Linked DNA regions of Stegostoma tigrinum. The protein of the gene in region 2 interacts with the protein of the main gene of each other region in a pairwise test. Links are inferred from orthologs where the notes say so. Each region holds a gene or a part of one and is shown on either strand. Other genes may lie near its edges. The genes, in order: sh3yl1 and sh3d19.

What was found.
Region 1: the proteins of sh3d19 (region 2) and sh3yl1 interact in binary tests that used the Homo sapiens proteins (3 or more experiments, as listed by UniProt). The link is inferred for Stegostoma tigrinum from reciprocal best matches to the Homo sapiens genes SH3D19 and SH3YL1.

Annotation. Positions count from the first base shown.
Region 1 is NC_081357.1:108,024,171-108,032,102, forward strand, and holds the start of sh3yl1 (SH3 domain-containing YSC84-like protein 1), read right to left. Parts: upstream 3,174-7,932; 5' UTR 3,058-3,173; coding exon 3,057-3,057; intron 1-3,056. Other genes in the region: acp1 (low molecular weight phosphotyrosine protein phosphatase), read left to right, coding at 3,486-3,606, 5,381-5,454.
Region 2 is NC_081354.1:51,437,543-51,445,246, reverse strand, and holds the start of sh3d19 (SH3 domain-containing protein 19), read left to right. Parts: upstream 1-4,471; 5' UTR 4,472-4,601; coding exon 4,602-4,725; intron 4,726-7,704. UniProt on the Homo sapiens protein: May play a role in regulating A disintegrin and metalloproteases (ADAMs) in the signaling of EGFR-ligand shedding. May be involved in suppression of Ras-induced cellular transformation and Ras-mediated activation of ELK1.

The DNA.
Region 1 (7,932 bases), on a different chromosome or scaffold from region 2:
TGTGTTTAAAAAAACACAAGAATCATCTCAGCAACTTTGTGAACAGAAACCACTAAACTGCAAATCCACTTTTAATTAGTAAAAATATATGACAATGTTTCAGTATTGTTTACCTGTAGCTAGAATCTAATTATTTGTAAAAAATAGCGTTTGTTGTTTAGTACAAGTACCTAGTCCGAGCTCTCTGTCCACCCCACCAGCAACAACGTCCAACGTCTCATCCTTAAACACTTCTGCTAACTCCAATTAGACCTTACCACCCAGAACATCTTCCACTCCCCACTACTCTCCGCCCTGCACATGGACCATTTCCTTCATCACTCCTCACCTCAGACCATACTCCTCACCAACCACTTCAACTCACCTGATATCTTCCCCTGTAACAGTAAAAGATGCAGCACCTGTCCACACACCACCTCCCTCACCTCCATTCAGGGCCCTAAACAGTCCTTCCAAATGAGTCGGAGCTTTACCTGCGTCTTCTCCAACCTAGTTATTGCATCTGGTGCTCCCGACGTGGGCTTCTCCACTTCAGTGAGACCAAACATAGACGAGGTGACCATTTTGCCAAGCTTCCACCTGGAGTGTAATGGCCAACCTAACTTCCCATTTCAACTCCCCGCCACACTCCCCTTCTGACATGTCCATCCTCGGCTTCCTCCAGTGTCGCAGTAACTTAGAACACAAATTTGAAGAAGACCACCTTGTCTTCTGCCTGAGCACCCTACAGCCTGGAAGACTCAACAGTGAGTTCTCCAATTTCAAATAACCTTCCCATTCTTTTCCCCCCCTCTCTGTTTTCAGCCCCACCTCCTCCCTTCCATTCCACCCCACCTTCTGATCCTCCCTTCCAGCCACCAACCAAATTCATCCCTCCTATCGACCAACCAGGTCATACCCACTACAGTGTCCAACTACTGCCACCATCCCACTTCCACCTCTTCCCCCTTCTTTATCTGCAGCTTGCCGTACCCCTACATTCAGTTCTGAAGAAGAGTAATACCCAAAACATTGATTGTTCCTTCCCTCCAGATGCTGCCTGGCTTGCTGTGTTCTTCCAGCCTCCCATAGGTCTACATTGGATTCCAGCATCTGCAGTGTTTTGTCTCTAAGGACAGCAATTATGTTCCCCCGAGAACTTGTGAACCAGACAAGAATTGACATTGGTTCTATTCTTATCATGGGATCATTAATTCCAGATTTTCTCTTGAATTGAATTCAAATACCACCATCTACCACTACAAGATTCCATATCCAAGTCCCCACTAGAATAGTTAAACTTTCAGGGTGGGCATCAGATGGGCACAGAGGATCCACAAAGTAGGACCATATGCCCATGGTCACCAGGTGTAAAATACACAAATACCATTAATTGGCCATGCAAGGGCATCAATAAGCCCCAAGAAGGATAGTTCACCTGTTGTAAATTCAAAGTTGAAACAGACTTTTAATCATTAAGGAAATCAACATTTGTATGGAAAAGACAGAAAAATGGAGTTGAGAATTATCAGCCATGATCTCATTGAACGGTGTAACAGACTCGATGGGCTGAATGGCCTACTTCTGCTGCTGTGCCTTATGGTGTAATTGGGATGTCAAGGCTGGGGGTTTGTTAAGTATGCCTCTCCCATTCCTCCCATAACATTTCACAGAGGGTGGAGACGAATGAATAGGTGGCGGGAAGGTCATCTCCTGGATTTTACAAGCACCCTTCCTTCAATTCTAACAGCAGGGCTAGCATATTTTCAAGTTCAAAATTAATTATTTCACCATACCCAAAGTGTGTCCATAATTAACACAGTGGCCCCAAAATCAGAAATTCCCTCAACAACAAATATTCCTCCGTTCAACAATTTCCCAATGTCACTTTATCCATTTTTTCCTTGCCGATAAGTTATATTATATTCTCACATTTATTGCTTTGAATTTTGCTATTTTCAAGTGCTTACAATTCACAGTATCACTACTGGAAAACACATTTATAATAGCATTTACTTTATTGTTTTTAATGACCTAATTACTTACATGACAATGTTTACATCAACTTTTAACAAATCTGCTTTACCTTTTTTTTGTTTCTGCTTCTATTTATGCATCAAAATGAACAAGAAACATATGATTACAATCATTTGTTGTTGATTTTATTTTCAATCATCTTCTGGCTGACATGGATCAGAAATGCATTGGTTTTGTTGTGATTAACATGCAGAAATTAATAAATAATGTTAATTTCAGTATGAGGGATGCAAAACAATCTAAACAGTTCAATTTTAAAGAGAATTGAGTGTCTAAGCCTGGCTGTATATATGCAAGTCATAAATATTGTTTTCAAAACACTTTATAAAATGGAACATATTGAATAAAGTATGAATGCAAAGGAATTATGTTCAACATTCAGAAATCACAGGTTAGGATTCAGCCAAACTACAGTGCTAATTCTGGCAACAACATTTCAGAAAAGAATTCAAGGCTTGGATAAGTTAGAGGAAATTTACAGAGATAAAATCAGGTATAAAAGTTTTCATAGAGAGAGATTAGAGACATTGAGTACTTCTCCTCAATGTTGGGAACGTTTAATCGAGTATTTTTAATCATTAAGGTTACTGATAGAGTAATCAACTGAAAAAGTTTCTACCATGAAGGGTCAGGAATCAAAGGACAGAGACTTAAGTTAACCAGCAAAGGGACCAAGAGCGAGATGACAGGATAAAATGCTGGAATAAGTGATTTAGGATTTGGAATGCAATGCCCAAAGGGCGGAGTAAGCAAATTTGATATCTAAAAATGTTTTGAAAGTTAAATAGTAGAAAAAGTGTAATCATGCGGAAGAAGGGCAATAGGAGAGAGCACGAGAATAGGACACAATGAGGTGAACTACATCCTTTAATGCTTCTACGATTCAGTGGAACGAATGTGCTGAATGTCCGTCTAAACTGTGTCCATAACTCAAAAATACGTGTTTCACCACAAATATTACACTTCAGGAAATACCTCCCAAAGGATTTTTCCCAAAACGTGTACCAATCTACACAATAAAAGGCAAAAGGAAAACTTACTTTTACAAATAATGCTCTTCTAAAACGTTTAAATGCAGACTATTGGAGTACCAGCCCAAACTCACTTGCTGGGTTTACCTGTGCTAACTACACCTGGGCACCACCCACAGGTCCTCAAGGACCCCTGCTTAGGAGCTGTCCGAGGACGCGCCGAGGATTTAGGACGCTTTCCACCAACCCGCCTAGATCTTAAAACGGCTGATGCTAGTACGGTTTTTTTAAGAAAAAAAAAATGACGGTACGGAGGAATCGGGGCAAGCCGCTGCGCGCGTTGATTTCCAGCGAGCGGGTCCCAGGAGATTGCGCGGAGCAGGCAGAAGAGTAGACGGAGGCGAGTGACGCGGTCTCTTGGCAGGACCCGGTGAAGATGGCGGCCGGGCAGAAGTCGGTTCTGTTTGTCTGTTTGGGTGAGTGAGTGAGAATGAATGAATGAATGAACGAACAAACGGGGGCGGGGGTAACGGCTGCCGGTCCGTGCGCGCACCTAAACGTCTCTCAGCTCCAGCCGCCACCCAGCAGCGGAGGATTGTTGGAGGGGCCGTGTGCGAGGGTAATCGTTCGGTCCATTTCTTCATGGGATGTCGACGTCCCTGGCTAGGCCAAGGGCCATTTAAAAGTCATTCGCAGTGCTGCAGGTCTGGAGTCATGCGGTTAGGCCAGAGCAGGTGCTGGTGGCAGATTTCCTTCCCTGAAGGTTATTGCTTAAACCAGAGGGCCAACCAACAATGGCCACCGTTAGACTAGCTATTAAGTTTATCTGGTGGAACTCAAATTCTCCCCTCCACGGAGCATTTGCCTGGGGTGCTGGGTTAGTCAATTCAAAGAACGCCACCGTACCTTTGCTCTACAGATATCCAGTTAGGCCACCTCTCCAGTTCTTCAGTATGTACAACCTGCCCCATGGTCATAAAATTGCCGAGTTTTGACCTTGACTGTGCTACTGAAACTCTCATTCATACTATTGGTCATTTCTAGACATGATTATTCCAGTACACTTCTGGCTGGTCTCCCACAATCTACCCGATCTAAACTGAGATCCTCCAAAGTTCAGACGTGTGTGTCCTGATGCACGGTAATCCAATTGGCCCCCTGAGCTTGGCTGCCAGTTGTTGGCTCCCTGTTTAGCAACATGTCGGTTTTCAAATTCATCTTGTTTTTAAATTCATGGGTCACTCCTTACATTTGTTACCTCCAGCATCTCAATCCTTTAGGGTAGTTGTACTTTTCTAATTCCAGAAACCTGAATATGCCTGGATGTTTTTGCTCCCTTAATGATTCACCTTCCACTGTTAAGGTTCAATGCCTTGGCATTCCCTCCCTATACTGCCTCTGATTTCTCCAAGTAAATTGCTTATAAAAATCTACTACTTTGACCAAAGTTTTAGTCACTTGCTCGTGATAAGGTTTGACACCAATCTGCATAAGGCTTTATTTGATGACATACCTGTAAAGTGCCACAGATGATTTAATATGTCAGAGATGATATAAAAATACAATGTACTGTCCTAGACCCTGCAAATTTATTTTGAAGAATATATTTATTTCATTTTATTTAAACTTGGCTTTTCAGTTTTGAATAACACAGCCTTTTGAGGCAATCTATTCCACATCTTAGTATGTTAAAAAGAATCTCTTCACATCGTCTTTGGCCTTTCTGTTTTCTCTGGTCGTCATTCCTCCTGCATTATAGACCACTGATGAAGCAATTTATGTTAAATTGTGCATTCATTTTTCATATCCCCCTAAGATGACTGAATTGAGGAACCCTTTAGATCCAGACAAGGCTAATCAGAATATTAGATAAGACTATCAAAGGAGAGAAATCAAAGGTACAATCAATAGTGGTCTGATAGACTGTCAGGAGCAGGTCTGTGGAACCAAGTTGCATGTCATTCTTATGACCTGTCACTTAATGATCTATATATAGCACAAGGTCCCTAGACATATGTCGAGTCAGTAACATATGAATATAGATTGAAGTGTAAACCACTATTGGTGTTATCTGAGGTAGACTTGTTCAAAAAAAACAAATGATATTGTCTCTTAAATAGGAGATTTTGGTGTGATTGAAATTACAGGGCTGATTAAATAATTTTTTCTGCAAGAACTAATACTTCCTAAGTTCACTTCTGTTGAGAAACTTTTTCTGTAAATATTTTAATTGTGTATACAAACTGGAGGTGTATGGAAATCAAATTTGCATATAAATCATACTTCTGTTTAGCTTCTATCAAGTACAGGAATTTTATATACTTTAACTATGATAAACCTGCTATAAAACTTTAGAAAAAACTCACGCGATCATGTTTTTGAATTTTTTTAAGGCAACATTTGCCGATCTCCAATTGCAGAAGCTATCTTCAGGAAACTGGTAACGGATCGAGGCATTACAAACAAAGTAAGCCCTACTCGCTTTTTCAAAAAATCTTAGTTATTAAAATTCTAAATAAATAATTCGTAAGTGTATAAATCAAAGCATAAACCAGCTATGTTTTGAATATGGGGGAGAGAGATAATGGGAACTGCAGATGCTGGAGAATCCAAGATAACAAAGTGTAAAGCTGGATGAACACAGCAGGCCAAGCAGCATCTTGGAGCACAAAAGCTGACGTTTCGGGCCTAGACCCTTCATCGTCCTCTCTGATGAAGGGTCTAGGCCTGAAACATCAGCTTTCATGCTCCTGAGATGCTGCTTGGGCTGCTGTGTTCATCCAGCTTCACAATTTGTATCTATGTTTTGAATATGCTTGATATCAATTTCCTTGTTGTCCTTGTGCTGAATCTGCACTAGTGTAATTATTAGCAATGGACACACTCAGGATTTCTGATTTGATTCTGTACTGAAAAATTGTATAAGATTTCAAGTTTGCACTTAATTGTTTGTACTATCACTGGTCACAATGCAGTGGAAAATTTAACCTAAATGCAGCAAGTACATACTTTACATGTTATATTTTTAAGCAGTCTGTCCAGAAGTGTTATGTCACACCTGTGGTGCAGGTGGGACTTACCTAGTCCTTCTGGCTCATTATGTATTTACCCAAGAGGACTTTCTTACATTGAATCTATAGCGCATACCAACAATTTAGTTCAAATGGTTAATGTCACTACTTAATGTACACAAAATTGCTTTCATTCTTCATTCCTACCATTCCCACTGTCCATCAATTTGATTCTTTTCTCATGTCCACATTGACCATTCTCTTAAATGTGTCAATGATATCAACCATCCCGTGTGGCACAGAGTTCCAAGTCCTCAACATTCTCTATGGAAAGAAATTCTTCACTTAATAAATGGTCACTAAACATTAATAAAAACACTTTTTCTGGACTAATCTACATTTTGAAAGAGATTCTTCACATTTACTCCATTGAAAACTTTAATGAGTATGATGTCTTTTCATGCATCTCTTAGTCTTTGTCCCAGCAAAAAGAGACCTAACCTTTCAATCCAATTTGTAACTTACAGTTCTGGCGATATCCTTGTAAGTATTTTCTGCAATTGCTCCTCTTTTTAATTATATAGATCAGAACTTTGCATTACATAGAACATAAAACATTACAGCACAGTACAGGCCCTTTGGGCCTCGATGTTGTGCCGACCTGTTATACCAAGCTGAAGCCCATCTAACCTACACTATTCCATGTACGTCCATATGCTTGTCCAATGACGACTTAAATGTACTTGAAGTTGGCGAATCTACTACCGTTGCAGGCAAAGCGTTCCATTCCCTTACTACTCTGAGTAAAGAAACTACCTCTGACATCTGTCCTATATCTTTCACCACTCGATTTAAAGCTATGCCCCTTCATGCTGGCCATCACCGTCCTAGGAAAAAGGCTCTCCCTATCCACCCTATCTAACCCTCTGATTATTTTATATGTCTCAATTAAGTCACCTCTCAACCTTCCTCTCTCTAACGAAAACAGCCTCAAGTCCCTCAGCCTTTCCTTGTCAGACCTTCCCTCCATACCAGGCAACATCCTTGTAAATCTCCTCTGCACCCCTTCCAAAGCTTCCACATCCTTCTTATAATGCAGTGACCAGAACTGTACGCAATACTCCAAGTGCGGCCGCACCAGAGTTTTGTACAGCTGCAGCATAGCCTCATGGTTCCGGAACTCGATCCCTCTATTAATAAAAGCTAAAACACTGTATGCCTTCTTAACAGCCCTATCAACCTGGGTGGCACCTTTCAAGGATCTGTGTACATGGACACCGAGATCTCGCTGCTCATCTGCACTACCAAGAATCTTACCATTAACCCAGTACTTTGCATTCCGGTTACTCCTACCAAAGTGCATCACCTCTCACTTGTCCGCATTAATCTCCATTTGCCACCTCTCAGCCCAGCTCTGCAGCTTATCTATGTCTCTCTGTAACCTACAACATCCTTCTCACTATCCACAACTCCACCGACCTTGGTGTTGCCTGCAAATTTACTAACCCATCCTTCTACGCCCTCATCCAGGTCATTTATAAAAATGACCTGAACAGCAATGGACTCAACATCGACCCCTGCAGTACACCGGTTACCTCTCAGATTTGTTTTCAATACCTCTAGAAATGATGGAATGTCGCACCCCTTATGAGCATATCAAACCTGTTGCTGCTTTTAACAGCTTATGTAAAAATTTTAATATCCTTTGCTCTACTTCTCCTATAGCCAGCACCAGGAGAAGCACCAGCAATGTCTTCTCTTGCTGTTTCCATACTATTCTTCTGTTGCTCCCCAAGGATCCGGCCTTGGCCACCTCTTGTTTCTCATCTCCTTGGTGCCTTACTGTGAAATCCTCCAAAAGCACAGTGTTGGGTTTGACATTTAGACTGATGACACTCACTCTGTTTCACCACCATCTCTTAGTTCTCTGCTGT
Region 2 (7,704 bases):
TTTCTAGCCAAATCAATCTGAGACAAATATATCACTTTTGTTGAAAGTATATTTCTGTAACACATTCTCCCTCCATTCAGCCTTACTCCATATTGACAAAATGCTGATCTATGTCTTTGTCACCTCCAGCTGTAATTTCTCCAAAGTTTTCCTGGTGAACTTCCAAGTACTAACCTTCATAAATTGCAACAAATATCTTGTCCAAGTGTGATTTTCTCTCAGTCCCCTTCTTGCCAATAATTACTGGCACCCTTTCAATTAACACATTAAAATTAACGTCTCAGACTGATGATATTTCCGAGGTTTCTGATTAAAGGACATTGACCTGAAACACACTGTTTCCCTCTCCATTGGTGCTGTTGGACCACAGAATATTTCCAGCATTTTCTGTTTAAATTTTAGATAATCAACATTTGCACTATTTTACTCCGGAACGCATCATGTTTTAGTACTAACAATCTACCCTGGATCTTGCTATTCCTGTCACTGCATTCGCATTCAATACAATGTGTCATTTGGTATGACCCCTTTGCACCCCTAACTCCTCATCATGCCTCTTCACTATATTTACCCCACATTCCAAAGTATGCCTCCCAAGTCCTCTCTTTTAAAACTTATTCCTCGAATCATTCATCACCGCATCTTTCTCTGGTGATGCTTATTTTCTGTTCTTTGCAACTTGTTGGATACATTAATGTATTGTAACTCCAAGAAGTTGTTATGAATTTAGCAGAACTTTGGTTACAAGTGCACAGTGTTCATTGAAAAAGCAACTTTTTTGTTTGTCCATGAATACACAGAAATGCAGCAACACTACTATCACTGGAAAAAAATGTTGACGTAATTTTTCTCCTGAGAACAAAAGATTGTCCCAGATTTTGTGGTCAGTAGCAAAGGAACGGCACTTACCGTTCACTGTGCTGACTGCTGTCCACAATGATTTTGCAGGCTTTAAAGTCATTAAGCATTTGATCCAATGTGACATCTTCTACCATGGAAGTGTGACATGTGTGAGCAGGGCACGGGATGTTAAAGTGTTGTCAATTTATTAGAATGAAGAGTTATCACTAAACTATGCAGACATTAAACCAGAAAATTAAATGTGGGAAGAAATGATGAAATCAATAGAGGGAAGTTTAATGACTGAACATAACAGTAAACAAAAATGAAATAAAAGATGCTGGTGATCTGAAATAGAATCAAGAAAGTGCAGGAGAAATTCAGTGGGTAGCATCTGTGGAGAGAGAAACAAAGTTAACATTTTGAATCTGGTATGACTGTACTTCATAATAAATTTCCAACATTTATTAAATTCTTAGAGAATGAAATTTCACACAAATAAAGTTTTCAGGGTAGGGAAGGCTGTTCAGAAGAAATAATGACTGATCACTGATGTCCCTGTCACCTTCCAATTCTGGCCTGTTACACAACCCAATTATCACTGCTCCACTTTTGGCAGTTACACTTTCAGCTTCGTTGGATCTCAATTCTAAAGTTTTTCCTAAACTTCCTCACTCGTTTCCTTTAACAAGTTCCTTGAAAGTTATGATCATCTGCCTTGATAATTCTGCTGATTGGAGTCATAACTAGAACAAAGGAAAATGGTTATTATTTTTGGAGGTCAGTCATCTCAGCTCCAGGACATTTCTGCAGGAGATCCCCAAGATCGTGTCCTAACTCTAACCATTTTCAGCTGCTTCATCAATGACTTTCCCTCCATCATTAAGTCAGAAGTAGGAAGCTCACTAATGAATGCACAATGTTCAGCATTATTTGCGATGCAATAGATTCAATAGACTTGGTCAACATCCAGACTTGCGATGACAATTGACAAGTAACATTTGTGCAAAACAATGTTAGGCATCACTAAATTCCCCACTATCAACATAAAGGGAAGTGCAGATGCTGGAGAATCCGAGATAACAAAGTGTGGAGCTGGATGAACACAGCAGGCCAAGCAGCATCTTAGGAACACAAAAGCTGACGTTTCAGGCCTTTTCTGATGAAGAGTCTGGGCCCGAAACGTCAGCTTTTGTGCTCCTAAGATGCTGCTTGGCCTGCTATGTTCATCCAGCTCCACACTTCGTTATCAACATCCTGGGGGTGTCTATTGACAAGCAACTAAACTGGGCTTGCCCTATAAATCTGTGGCTACAAAAGCAGGTCAGAAGCTAGGAATACTGTAATGGCTAACTTGTTTCCTGACTCCCCAGAGCCTGTACACTATTCACAAGGCACAAAGGGCAGCACGGTGGCTCAGTGGTTAGCACTGCTGCCTCACCATGCCAGGGACCTGGGTTTGATTCCTCCCTTGGGCAACTGTCTGTGTGGAGTTTGCACATTCTCCCCGTGTCTGCATGGGTTTCCTCCAGATGATCCGGTTTCCCTCGCAGTCCAAAGATGTGTAGGTTTGGTAGAATGGCCATGCTAAATTGCTTGTAGTGTGTTCAGGGCTGCGTAGATTAGATGGGTTATAGGGGAATGGGTCTGGGTGGGATGCTGTGTGAGTCAGTGTGGACTTATTGGGCTGAAGGGGTTGTTTTGACATTGTAGGGATTCTGTGAAATCAAGAGTGTGGTGGACAACTCCCCCACTTATAGTGCAACTTGTACAACACACAGGTTTGATATCATCAAGGTTAAACCACCTCAATTGATTCATTGGCACAACATCCACAAGCGTTGACTCCATCCACCATCCAATCATAGTAGCAGCAGTGTGTACCATGCACAAGATGCACTGCAGAAATTCACCAAAGATCCTTTGTCAGCACCTTTCAAACCCTTGGCAATTACTATCTGGAAGGGCAAGAGATACATTAGAGTGCCACCACCTGCAAGTTTCTCTCCAAACTTCTACTCATCCTGACTTGAAAATATTTAAGCATTCCTTCAGTGTTGCTGGGTTATAATACTGGAACTTCATCTCTAACAGCAAAGTGTGTGTACCCACACTGAAAAGACTGCAGGAGTTCAAAAAGGCACCTCATCACCACGTCCTCAAAGCAGTCAAGGACAGGCAATTAATATTGGCCAAGGCAGTGAATCCTACATTTTAATTTTTTTTCTATGGCTCAGTACAAAATTTGTTTTGTGAAGTAACTTTAGACATTTTATTACATTAAATATCATATCTAAATACAAGCTGTTGTTGCTGATGTTGAACACACACCAAGCATCAGTGGTTGAAACAAAGACCGTGCCAACATTTAAAGTTAGGTAGATGTTTGAACGTAAGAGGCATAATGAGATATGGGTACAAAACTGACACATGATTGGGAGTTTTTTTTTATATTATTCGTTTATGGTATGTGTTCTGGATCTTGCCACATATGGACATTCCTGGTTCAGGAGGCAGTGTGAACAGTGCTGATCATTCAGTTAACATCTTCACTTTTGATTTTATGGTGGAGGGAATGCCATTGCTGATGCAACTGAACATAATTGGGCCTCAGACATGACCATGAGGAGCTCCTGAAGTGGTGTCCTGAGGCTGAGATAGTTGACTACCAACAATAACCATAACCTTTCTGTACTAGGTATGACACCAAACAGTGTGGAGCTTTCCCCTGAATTCCAATTCACTCCAGTTTGTCAGGACCCTTTGCCGCCACACTCCGACAAATACTGACTTGATGACAAGGATAGTCTGTCTCTCACCTCACCTCTGGAATTTCGCACTTTTGTCCATGCTGGAACCACAGTTATAATGACATTCAGATCTGAACATTGGTGAATAGTTTGTTCCTTTGTAAATCCAACTTGCTGTCACTGTGATGACACCCTTTCCATCATGTTACTGATGAGGCAGTATTTGACCAAATTGGATTTGCCCTACTGTTTGTGTACAGGACATAATTGTGCATTTCTGGGTAGATGCCAGTGTTGTAATTGTACTGCAGCAACTGGGCTAGTGGTGCGGCGAGTTTGGGTGCACAAGTCTCCAGTACTATTGCAGCCAATGTTGTCAGGGTCCATAGTCTTTGCACCGTACTGTATTGGGTGTCTTCAATCTTTTTTCAATAAAGTGAATTCAGTTGGTTGAAGACCGAAACCTGCCAGGCTGTGAACCTCAGGATGAGGATGAGGCACAGCTCACTCACTGGGGCACAGATGGCTGAAAATGGATGTACACACTTCAGCACTGTCTTTTTCTGGAGACAGTTTATCTACTGCTTGCAAAACAGTTTATTCCTGCAAAGGTGTCACACAGCACAGCCCGCTGAGTCATTGTATCCACCAACAATTTACTTAATTCACAGGGAAACACTATTTTTTTTAAAAAAGGTGTGTTCAGGTCAGAATCAAAAGTAAATCTCTGCCAGCGATTTGGAAAAGTTACACAGTTGATTGTCACGTTTGGGGCTGGATGAAAATCAGCTCCAAGCGCTACCGCCACCTTTTGTTTTCGCTTAGCCACCGAGTTTCCTGTCGGCAGAGGAATATTTCGGAAGTTGCTGAAAAGGTAGCTACTTCCTTCGGTGTGGTGTTGAGGTGGTGGTTGTAGCTGCTGACTAGACTGGAAGCTGCGCGCTCTCTGTCTCTCAGTAATTGTGTTGTGTTGGCAGCGCTACCTCTGCTCTGCACACTAATATATTCCGTATGATGATGGCGGAAGCCTGGTTTGAGGAGGAAGAGGAGGAGGTGCGAGGGGCGATCGACAGGGACCCCAGCTCCAGACACAACTCCGCGGCTGCTGCTGGGCGGCTGGGCAGCTCGTCGGCAGGTAAAACAGGGAAGCCTCTCTATCGGTGCATGTCTCTCACTCTCTTCAAATTACCGCGAAATAAGAGTTTTACCAGATGTTATCTGTCAACTATTGAGTTTTTTTGTTGTTGGCTGGTTTTTAAAAGCTCCTGTCACTTTTCGTCATGCTTGATAATTCCATTTAAGCTTTTGGTAAATTTAAGGCTATGTTAATTATCGATGTTTTAAACGGTGGGAAAACGGGATTGTGTGTCATGTTCCAAATACATCAAAATCTCCCGATGTATTTTTTTCAGAACTAAACTAATTCCACGCCGACAGCTGTAGCCCTATTGACAAGTGGCGGGCACTTTGTGTCTTTCGCAGTGAAAGGGGAGTGTTAGGGAGGGATTACAACGCAGTACAACGAATTGAGTCATTGGGTTAAAAAAAAAACTGTAAAAAGATCATGGTGACTCATCAACAGTTTGTAACTCCCCTTTGATCCCGAGGTTCGGACTTCTCCTTTTGGGTTTATATCCATTGTTTTGTGTTAGTCGGCTGTTAACTGTGCGCAATCAGTTTTTTTTCGGACGGGCTGTGGTGATTGAGTAGGATTTATCAATTTTGAGGGATTCATTGTAGATCATTTCTGTTCAATACATGTCTACGTTCGGACTTGAACCCTGATCTTCTGGCTCATAGGGACAGTACCACTGTCCACGAGAGGTTCAATGTGGACTTACACAATCGGGGGTGATAGGCCAGTGCGCCGTATCTCCCGCCTCCCCACCCCAGTGGCCCTATATTTTCATAATACACTGACTTGCGTGAGCAATGTGTCTGCCAGTCCTTTGTCTACATTTCTATTCTTTGTGTTAGCCAGGATAGTGATTGAAAGCAGATAGGAAGACAAAACATAATTGTGCTCAATCTTGTCTGTGTACGTACAGTTCTGTGCAATTAAGCGACTGTATGGTTTTTTTAATCCAAAATTCATGGATAACTATCAGCCAACTCACCACTGTTGAACTGGGATTTTAACAGATGTGCATACATTCCAAATCACTTATATAACTGAATTGTACACTTTTTTCAGACACGTGCATTTACCTCAGTTCAAAAAAATCCAAAGTATTGGAAACAAAACAGCTCTTGAATTGTAGTCAGTTTGGCTGAGCCTTAGGAACTTCACCACCATAAAACTTTCCTGCATTTGAAAGTTCAGGACTGTGCAACAGTAGGAGCTTAACATACTTGTTAGTGAATCAGGAAAACCAGACTACTACACTCATTACATAAAGATGGTTTGCACCTTTCTGACTGTTAACTTTCTAAGAAAGATTATTCAAGGTCCACCCCAACTCTCCTAAGTGTCCCTGGAACATGATTATTTTGTCACCTGTGTTCCTCCTGCCCATCAACCAACTGGCCACTCTTCATGTGTACGGGTTGCATCTGCCAAAAGGACAAGATACAGACTTCAGTTGTCTCCTTAATGTACCTCCACAGAGTCGTAATTACCATTTGGGCCATTTTATAGAAATAGGAGCAGTAGTACAGGCAGATCTCCCATCGTTTTCTCCTCCCCTAATGCAGCAACATTGACCAATTGCAGTGCTCTACCTGTTGCTCTGAGAGTTACTGACATGAGGTCATATACTTCAACACCGGTAGGAACTAGTACAAAACCTCTCGAATTGCATTGCTCAGTACTTATACATTAATTTCAGATCATTAAGAGAGCTCTCCAAAGGAATTTATTTGTTATCCTTTACTATTCAACATAATCATGACTGATTATCTACTTCACTTCCACTTTCCAGTCCTTTGCCTGTCCCTTCATAGCCTTGGTATCAAAATAAATCAGACTGTATCCCAAATGTAATCAATGACTGAGCATCCAAACACCCTCTTGGGACAGATAATCCTAAAGAATCACAGTCTTTTGCAAGAAGAAGTGTAAAGAAGTTCAAAATGACTGATCTCTTAGACGGAAATCTTGACTCTTTTGTTCCCCTGACTGGGAGTAGAACTTTTTCCAAGCATCTATCCGATCAAATCCCTTAAGAATTTTATATGTTTAATTGAGATCACTGGTCATGCTTCCAAACCCCAGGGAATATAGACTTGGACTGTTCAGCTTTTCCTCATAGGACAATCTTCTCATCCTAGAAACCAGAAATTGAACTTTCATTGCATTCCCTCAGACAAATATATCCATCCTTCAATAAGAAGACTGAAACTGTGTGCTGTGATCTAGATGTGGTCTCATCAAGACTCTATGTAATTCAGTGTGACTTTTTCACAATTTTATTTTGTTATTGAATTAATAAGTGTAGTTAATGAATAATTATGAACCTTTCTGTCATCTAGCTTTTCTCATTTTATTATCCAGCTGAAATTTCTTTCATTCAACTAGATGACACATACAGATTTCCTCTGTTGTCTCTCATTTATGTTTCCCTAACAAGACCTATCAAAATGATGAAAAATAAATTGAAAGATGTTACATTTGCACTGATCCTTCTTAATGACCTGTATTATAAGAATAAGCTGCAAAGTTAACTTATGTTGAGATAAAGTTTCATAGGCACCATCCCTAAGCAAATATCAATAGGCTGATTAGTCAGAAGGAGCGTCCAAACTCTAATCTCATCTAGGTCATTAGATTCACTTTTCTTTGGAATTGGTGGAAGTAAGAGCAAAAAAGAGACCAGTTGTAGAACTGAAATTGGCAGAGATTTGTAATTAAACATAGAATTTCTGGTCTGAAGTAGGAAAAGAATCTCCTGGAAATATTCAGCAAGCCTTGTAGCATCTGTGGAGAGAGAAGCAGTTAACCTTTCAATTAATGAAGTTTTATCAAATGGTTCAACAATTCTGATTTTAATTTCAGTTTTCCAGCATCTATATCATTTATGCTGTTTTGCTTTTGATCATTTTGGTAGATAGTTCTATACATAGCACATTTATGAATTGATTTATAAAGGAGCATATATCATTGAGATTATGTCAT